2 linked regions of the Bombyx mori genome follow. The protein of the gene in region 1 interacts with the protein of each later gene in a pairwise test. Links are inferred from orthologs where the notes say so. Each region holds a gene or a part of one and is shown on either strand. Other genes may lie near its edges.

What was found.
Region 2: the proteins of proteasome 25 kDa subunit (region 1) and vesicle-fusing ATPase 1 interact in binary tests that used the Caenorhabditis elegans proteins (3 or more experiments, as listed by UniProt). The link is inferred for Bombyx mori from reciprocal best matches to the Caenorhabditis elegans genes pas-2 and nsf-1.

Annotation. Positions count from the first base shown.
Region 1 is NC_085130.1:10,804,373-10,808,829, reverse strand, and holds the start of proteasome 25 kDa subunit, read left to right. Parts: upstream 1-1,459; 5' UTR 1,460-1,472; coding exon 1,473-1,513; intron 1,514-1,699; coding exon 1,700-1,776; intron 1,777-1,939; coding exon 1,940-2,038; intron 2,039-4,457. Other genes in the region: uncharacterized protein LOC101740923, read right to left, coding at 888-1,176. UniProt on the Caenorhabditis elegans protein: The proteasome is a multicatalytic proteinase complex which is characterized by its ability to cleave peptides with Arg, Phe, Tyr, Leu, and Glu adjacent to the leaving group at neutral or slightly basic pH.
Region 2 is NC_085128.1:5,780,826-5,784,651, reverse strand, and holds part of vesicle-fusing ATPase 1, read left to right. Parts: intron 1-1,887; coding exon 1,888-2,087; intron 2,088-3,177; coding exon 3,178-3,310; intron 3,311-3,826. UniProt on the Caenorhabditis elegans protein: Required for vesicle-mediated transport. Catalyzes the fusion of transport vesicles within the Golgi cisternae. Is also required for transport from the endoplasmic reticulum to the Golgi stack.

The sequences.
Region 1 (4,457 bases):
AATTATATTTGTTAAGGTTTTATTAAATAATTTAAATATTAATATCCATGGACAAACTTAGTGAAGAATGTTGTTAATTGACATTTCACAGATTCAATCCTGTATTAATACTAAAAGTTAATTAAGTATTATCAAAGTTATTGACATAGCACAGTGGATTACTAGCTGAAGTGGAAATGGGCTGGCCATGTTAGCCGGAGAGTAGAAAACCGTTGGGATAAGAGTGTTCTTAAATTGAGACCTTGAATTGGTAAATATAGTGCAGGACGTCCTCAGGCTCAGTGGAGTGACGATCTATGCAGGGTGGCTGGTATGAGCTGGATGGGAGAAGCAGAGGATCAAGCTCAGTGGCGTACAATTGGAGAGGTCCAGCAATGTACTATAGGCTTACGATGATGAATCGGGTATAAAAGTTGGAACAGCACGCAGATCAGAAGAAGAGTTAAAAAGAACAGGATAATTGTTCAATTCCCTTCCTAATAATGGTAATGAGGATATGGGCATAGGTTAAATACGGTATTTAAGTTATTAACAGAAAAATAATGTATAAGACCTTAGACCTTATCTTTGTCTTTATATCCGGTTGGACACCAATGATAGGGTAGCTTAGGTACTAAAGAAATATAGTTTCAAAACTGTACGTGAACTTGATCGATATTTTAGATCAACGATAAAACTGTGGTACTGACGTCGCTTCTAGACGTGTGTGTGAATTTTCAAATTATTTGGACGTCTTTAAGTCTGTTAAAATTACGTTAAAATATTCCATTCCATATATGCAGGACGAACTAATGATAGGGCGTTAGAAAAGAACTTACTTATTAAGACCTATTACGTCCTAATATCTACAGTTTGATTATTTTTTTGTTGAAAACAAGAATAGTTACCTTGTCCCAATCTCAAGACGGCTAGTATCGTGAATGTCAGAATTAAGTTCCCGATAGCCAATACGAATAAAAGACAAACGAGAGTCCAAAATGCGAAGGTTTTCCTCCCTCTGTGTACGGTTTCCGTGACATCGTTCCCGTTCCTGTCCGAATAATTTTTAATATTACTTTTGAGTAACGTATGCGTTGGAGTTTTTGTTATCAGAGCCTTTTCAGCTCGGTTTCTCTCTAACGTGCTCTCGGACATGGTCTCTGAGGACGAAGATACTCCGCGGAGGCCAACCGACATAACGCACTAATGTTTACGCACGTATTTCAATGGGAAACCATTAAATTAAAAATAGATTTTTTTAGAAGGATGCGACAACAAAATATTGAGCGAGAAGCATCGCCTTTTATTGGTTAAGCCTATTTCAGACTAAATCCAATTGACCAATAAGGAGTGAGTCAATTTGATGTTGCCATATAAAAAATTTAAGAAGATGTGATCAAACTAATTGAGAAATATTTCTGAACGATTGGAAAACAGTGATGACAACATGACGCAGTGAATTATTGACAAATTTGACAATCTGCACTGTAATCATGGCGTCGGAGAGATACAGTTTTTCTCTCACAACATTTAGGTAAAAAAACTATATATTTACATGTTTTAAAAGTCTAATTAGCAATGGAACATAAAGTTCTGTGATAATTTTCAATGATGACTTAAGTTGCTTAATGTCTTAGCGTCTAATCTACTCTGTTTGATTCACACTAAAGTTGCGGTATGATTTTTGGTTAATGTTATCTCAATTGTTGTGTTTTTGCAGCCCCTCGGGCAAATTAGTGCAAATCGAATATGCTTTAGCTGCCGTAGCCGCCGGTGGTACTTCCGTCGGCATCAAAGGTTAGTAAATAAAAATTAAAGGTTATTATAATTCTAAACTAGAACTATAACTTCCTTTGTACTAATTACTGTGTATCATCACATAAAAAAACCGCAAATGTATATTTTTTCCCAGGATGACTCAGTATTTTTAAGAGTAAAAAGGATGTTTTCATATTTGCAGCGTCAAATGGCGTCGTGATTGCCACAGAGAACAAACACAAGAGCATACTGTATGATGAACACAGTGTCAACAAAGTCGAGATGATAACTGGCCACATTGGTGAGTTGAGTCTCCTTTTTGTCCCTACTTATTTGCTGATAGCCTAGGAGGCCATTCCAGTTACGCCTAAACAGGTAGGTGAGCTAACGGGCTTAACGTAAGCGAATTTTCTAGCAGCGAAGCAGTAATGCGTTTCGGTTTGAAGGGTGGGGCAGCCCTTGTAACTATACTGGGCTCAGGTAACTACTTAACACCAGGTGGGCTCTGAGCTCATCCACCCATCTAAGATATAAAAAAAAAAACATCAGAAACATGTTAGTTAGTTTTAAATTTTAACATTAGTTACTTAATACTCCTATTCGTATAAGAGAACAAGTATTGTCTGCTTTTCTTACTCATCCTACATTGTGTGAACTTGACGCACATATCTTTTTTACCATTCAGGCTTATTATAAATTGTCATCTCGGCATTGATACCCATCTCATATCATCATTTACACAGTGCAGTACTATTTTCAGACTTCCACTTATATGGGATAAATTCTTCTTTCATCAACTGCTTTCCTATAAATGAACAATTATATTGGTTATAAAGAATTTATCTTGTATATATATGTCAAAGGAAGCAATGAATAGAGTTGATTCTTGTTTACATACAAAATGCATATATTATTATTTTTAGGTTGTAATTACTTTTATAATTCTTAATTTTATTTTATTTTGTTTGTTACATTTTCCTATAGCTTTAAAACCTTCTATAAAAATAAATTGTAATAAAAGGTGCCAAAATTGTAAATTCATGTAGGTAACAACCAATCAGAGCAGAGCATTTATCTTCCGCATGGTCAAGGTGCCATCTTTACTTTGGGAAGGCGTATATTGTCTGGTGACACATTTTGAGCAATAAAAACGTATCGAGTTGGATCGTTGGAGAGTTCAAGTGAGATTGGTGCAATTGCTGCTCGGTCTAAACTGTAATATTCTCCCACAATATTACCGTGGAATAACAAAATATTGTATAATCTAAATGAAACTAGTGATAAAACCAATCATAGTTATCATTTGTGTTTTATATCTGTCACTATCTGTCTCGGTCGCTCATGCAAACATGTCCGCTATCCATCTCTCTCATCATTTTGTCGTAAAATTAAGAACCTACCAAGAGCTTGTGTGAATAAAAAACATTTGAACTGAGTAAAATGGGTTAGTATCAGGTCACTCGGGGTTCTTATTTTTTTTAGTATGAAACTAACAAGTTTTGTACCATTTTACAATCCTGATTTAATGCGCGAACTTTTAATGGCACTTGCCAAGGCACTTTAGTACTTTTTTTTAAAGGAGGGCCTTTCAAAGTCGACAAATTTTGAAAATTTTAGATTCATAGTTTGACAAATAATCTTAATTCTAGAAAACTTGGGGTCAGTTGTGCTTTTATTTTTGACTGTGGTTCTAGAAATGTTATTTAGGGTTACGGTTCCAAAGTTTAAATGAACAAAAATAATAAAAATTAACCACAATAACCGAAAAATGGTTACAGTTTGACCAAATTTCTAGGTTTTCCTTAAATGGTCATAATTTCCAAACTGCATTGGATAGATTTTTTTTCTGATTTTTCTCATGATTGTTCCTGTCACCAGGTTTCGGCTTGACGTTGAGTTCTGGGACACCATGTTTATGGTTGTCAATACATATCCTAACCTTCTCGTCGAACCCGTCACTGAGTGACCTGACTTTCTCGCCGGATCTTCTCAGCGGGTCGTGTTTCAGACCCGGTGGTAGATTCTGCGAAGCGCTCCTTTTGTTAGGGTTAGTATTAGCAACGTCGTCAAGGTTTGAGCTTCGTGAGCTCACCTACTGGTTCGGTGAATCTAGAATAACTCCTCAAGGTTACTAGAGTATAGGAATGAAAAAAAAATCCTACTTAAGTTAGGATTTTTTTTTAAGCGGTAGGCAGCGGCTTGGCTCTGCCCCTGACATTGCTGAAGTCCATGGGCGACGGTAACCACTCACCATCAGGTGGGCAGTATGCCCGTCTACCTACAAAGGCAATAAAAAAAAAAAAACAATTTGTGACATGTCCGCTTGGTCAATATGAGGGAAAATGTCTATGGTATATATAAATATGAGCATAGCTTTAGCTTACTAGATACAAATTCGGGATACATTATTGGCTTGAATTAAGGAAACAGGTAACTAATTGACGTTGGTACAAGTAATCCTCTCCAGAAAAACCCTAACACACTAGCACTCAACAGTATAAAAAAATCATTAATATACCTTTTAAAGTAGAATAGTATCTTAATTTAAACTTTCCATATACCGAACAGAAACTTCATAGAGGTAATATTGTTGATCGCTACTGTACTATCATATTTTATAGATTTAATAGACCCTTTAGGAATGTTTGCACAACAAAACTTGTCGAAAAGCTTAAAACTGTACACATTACACTACAAAAAGTAATCATTTCTTGTTTATT
Region 2 (3,826 bases), on another chromosome or scaffold:
TCGCAGAATCTACCACCGGATCGGAAACGCGATCCACTGAGAAGATCCGGCGAGAAACCCAGTGGGTTGTGTCTGTGGGTTACTTTACGCGTGGAGTCCTTCGTCGCAAGCGACGGGTTCGACGGGAACGGTGACCGGAACTCATACATCGACTACGTTTTAGCATAATATGTTATTTTTCTAGCTGGCTTTAAGATGTAGATGATTAATTCACTAAAGCAATCACCTCTCTTCTAATAATCAATTAGATATCTATTAAGTAAAAGTCAGGCCTGAATGTTACCGTAAACATGTACATAATATATGTATATATGTTTTTTTTTTTTTTTATTGCTTAGATGGATGGACGAGCTCACAGCCCACCTGGTGTTAAGTGGTTACTGGAGCCCATAGACATCTACGACGTAAATGCGCCACCCACCTCGAGATATAAGTTCTAAAATCTCAGTATAGTTACATCGGCTACCCCACCCTTCGAACCGAAACGCATTACTGCTTCACGGCGGAAATAGGCAGGGTGGTGGTACCTACCCGTGCGGACTCACAAGAGGTCCTACCACCAGTAATTACGCAAATTATAATTTTGCGGGTTTGATTTTTATTACACGATGTTATTCCTTCACCGTGGAAGTCAATCGTGAACATTTGTTGAGTACGTATTTCATTAGAAAAATTGGTACCCGCCTGCGGGATTCGAACACCGGTGCATCGCTTCAACACGAATGTACCGGACGTCTTATCCGTTAGGCCGCGACGACTTCAAAAGTCGAGGGGTGTAACGCTATTTGGTTTAAGCGACATTTCGCTTGACACGCGATATTTATCTTTGTAATTAAATGTGCGTTTTGTTTGGTATTAGCATTAACAATTCGATGTGTTTAACTGAACTTCAATTACGTTTACCCTATTCAAATAGCCAAAGAAGTTTTTTTTTGTATTGATATTTGTTGATATAATACTAGACAAAATATTGACATTGAAACTGAAATATGTACATTGACATCTATATCTATATTGAAACATTTTGATTAGGCATATTGTGAGCATACTCTGCTCTAGTAATGATAACTTACTGAAAGCCACCAATTTGTTTTAAATTAATATAGTTTGTATAATTTTTATGATCCACTTCATTGATTATTTAAAAGCCGAAAATTTTACTAATCTATATAGACATTCTCACGGCGTACATACTCTCTTACGTATCTCAAGAAGATTGCATTGTAATAGGTACTGTTTCTATTTTTTCATTGCCCTTGTAGGCAGACGAGCATATGACCCACCTGATGGTGAGTTGTTGTCGTCGCCCATGGACTTCAATGTCAGGGGCAGAGCCAAGCTGTTCCTACCATAATTCTGTCTCACCCTTCAATATCGAATTCACCTTTCATCTTAAAGTATTCACAACGCGTTCACAAATACAATGTAATTTTATAAAGTTGTCGTGGCCCAAAGGATAAGACGTCCGGTGCATTCGTATCTAGCGATGCAACGGTGTTCGAATCCCGCTGGCGGGTACCAATTTTTGTAATGAAATACGTACTTAACGAAATGCTCACGATTGACTTCCACGGTGAAGGAATAACATCGTGTAATAAAAATCAAACCCGCAAAATTATAAATTGCGTAATTACTCTTGTGAGTCCGCGCGGGTAGGTACCACCGCCCGGCCTATTTTTGCCGTGAAGCAGTAATGCGTTTCGGTTTGAAGGGTGGGGCAGCCGTTGTAACTATACTGAGACCTTAGAACTTATATGTCAAGGTGGGTGGCGCATTTACGTTGTAGATGTCTATGGGCTCCAGTAACCATTTAACACCAGGTGGGCTGTGAGCTCGTCCATTCATCTAAGCAATAAAAAAAGAACTAATCCTAATTAATTTATTTAGGCTGCAAGCACGTGAAGGGAATCTTGCTCTACGGTCCGCCCGGCACCGGCAAGACTTTGATGGCCCGACAGATCGGGAAGATGCTAAACGCCCGCGAACCGAAGATCGTCAACGGCCCACAGATATTGGACAAATACGTTGGCGAGAGCGAGGCCAACATTCGACGTTTATTTGCCGACGCCGAGGAAGAAGAGAAGCGAGTGAGTTTCGGAAAATTAAACTACTTAGAATATGTTCTAAGCGGACGTGATGATTTCTCATACCTGATCCTGGTAATCGATGGTAAACAGTCGACGTCGCCCAAAACACGTCATTACGGATTAGCGGTGCTTTTAGGTACCTCAAGCACCGGTCACCGTCCTCGCTGAACCTGTCGCTTGCGACGAAGGGCTCGACGAGCGAATTAACCCATAGATACAGTCCACTGAGTTTCTCGACGGATCATCTCAGTGGGTCGCGTTTCCGATCCGGTAGTAGACTCTGCGAAGAACGGCTCTTGCTATGGTCAGTGTTAGCATCACTCCGGCTTGAGCCCCGTGAGCTCACCTACTAGTTAAGGTTACGCTGAAATAGCCTCCCAAGGCTATCAGCTTAGGTAGGAAAAAAAAGATGATTTTTCAATTTTATAGTAAAGCTTTTTGAAGGAATTATGATAGAGAAGAAAATATGGGTTTATAATTTTTTGTAGGCAGACGGGCATAGGGCCCACCTGATATGAGTAGTCACCGTCGTCCATGGACTTATGGAATTTCAGCAATGCCAGGGGCAGGGCTAAGCCGCTTCTGCTGTTCTTGCATTTAAAATACACTATAACTTCTTCTTCTTAGTCGAATACTTCATTGCTGAAGGTCGTGTCCTTGAAAGCCCTTCGTGGCTCTTTGTACCCTCAGCTTCCATTTGCTTCGGTTTTCGGCTTCTCTCAGGGCGCTCGCAACAGAGAGTCCAGTGAGCGCAGTTATCTAATCCGACCAACGGTATGGTGGCCGGCCGGCAGGTCTTTTCCCTTCTAGCTTGCCCACCACAATCAAGCTTTCAAGGTTGTCTGGTGGCCGCCGAGCAATATGACCAAAGTAACCAAGAACCTTCTGGTAGCAAATCGTCTCATTTCTATACGAACAGTCTCGTTTCTATACGAAGTTGCTCGAGGACAGATTTGTTTGTTCTCTTGGCGGTCCACGGCATGCTTTTTTTTATTTTTTTTATTGCTATTTATTGCTATTTATGCGGAGCATTCTTCGCCACTATTCGACACTATAACTATCGATCGTTAATAAAGCCATCGGTTTACAGTGCGGAGCGAACAGCGGGCTTCACATCATAATATTCGATGAAATCGACGCGATCTGCAAGGCCAGGGGCTCCGTCGGCGGCAACACCGGCGTCCACGACACCGTCGTCAATCAGCTCCTCTCCAAGATCGACGGTCGGTTCACATCTCTATACGTTTGCTTTCTGGTAACTTTAATTTAACGACCGTCTGCTGTACAACGGCAGTCTGGTGTAGTGTACAATGGTCACTATACAAGGGGGTCGCGGGTTCGAATCCCACCAAGGAAAGATATTTGTATGATAAATATAAAAACGTTTTTTCCAGGGTTATGGATGTATATTAAATATAATATGTATGTGTATAATAAAAATCTTTCATTTATTTCCGTTATCTGGTACCTGTAACACAAGTTCTTTACGAACTTAGCACGGGACCAGTTAACGTGGGGTGATTGTTAATAAATAATTTTTTATTAAAAAAAAAAAAAGTGGATGCCGAACTCTGCATAGAGTTCAACTTGCAACCTAACCTAAACATCAGTCCGTTGAGTTTCACACCGGATATTCTCACCGGGTCGCGATTCCGATCCGCTAATAGATTCATTCGCGAAGCAGCTTCTCTTGAGTAGTTAGGTCTCCCTTGGAGGCGCTCGGGTAGCTGTTAGCAAAC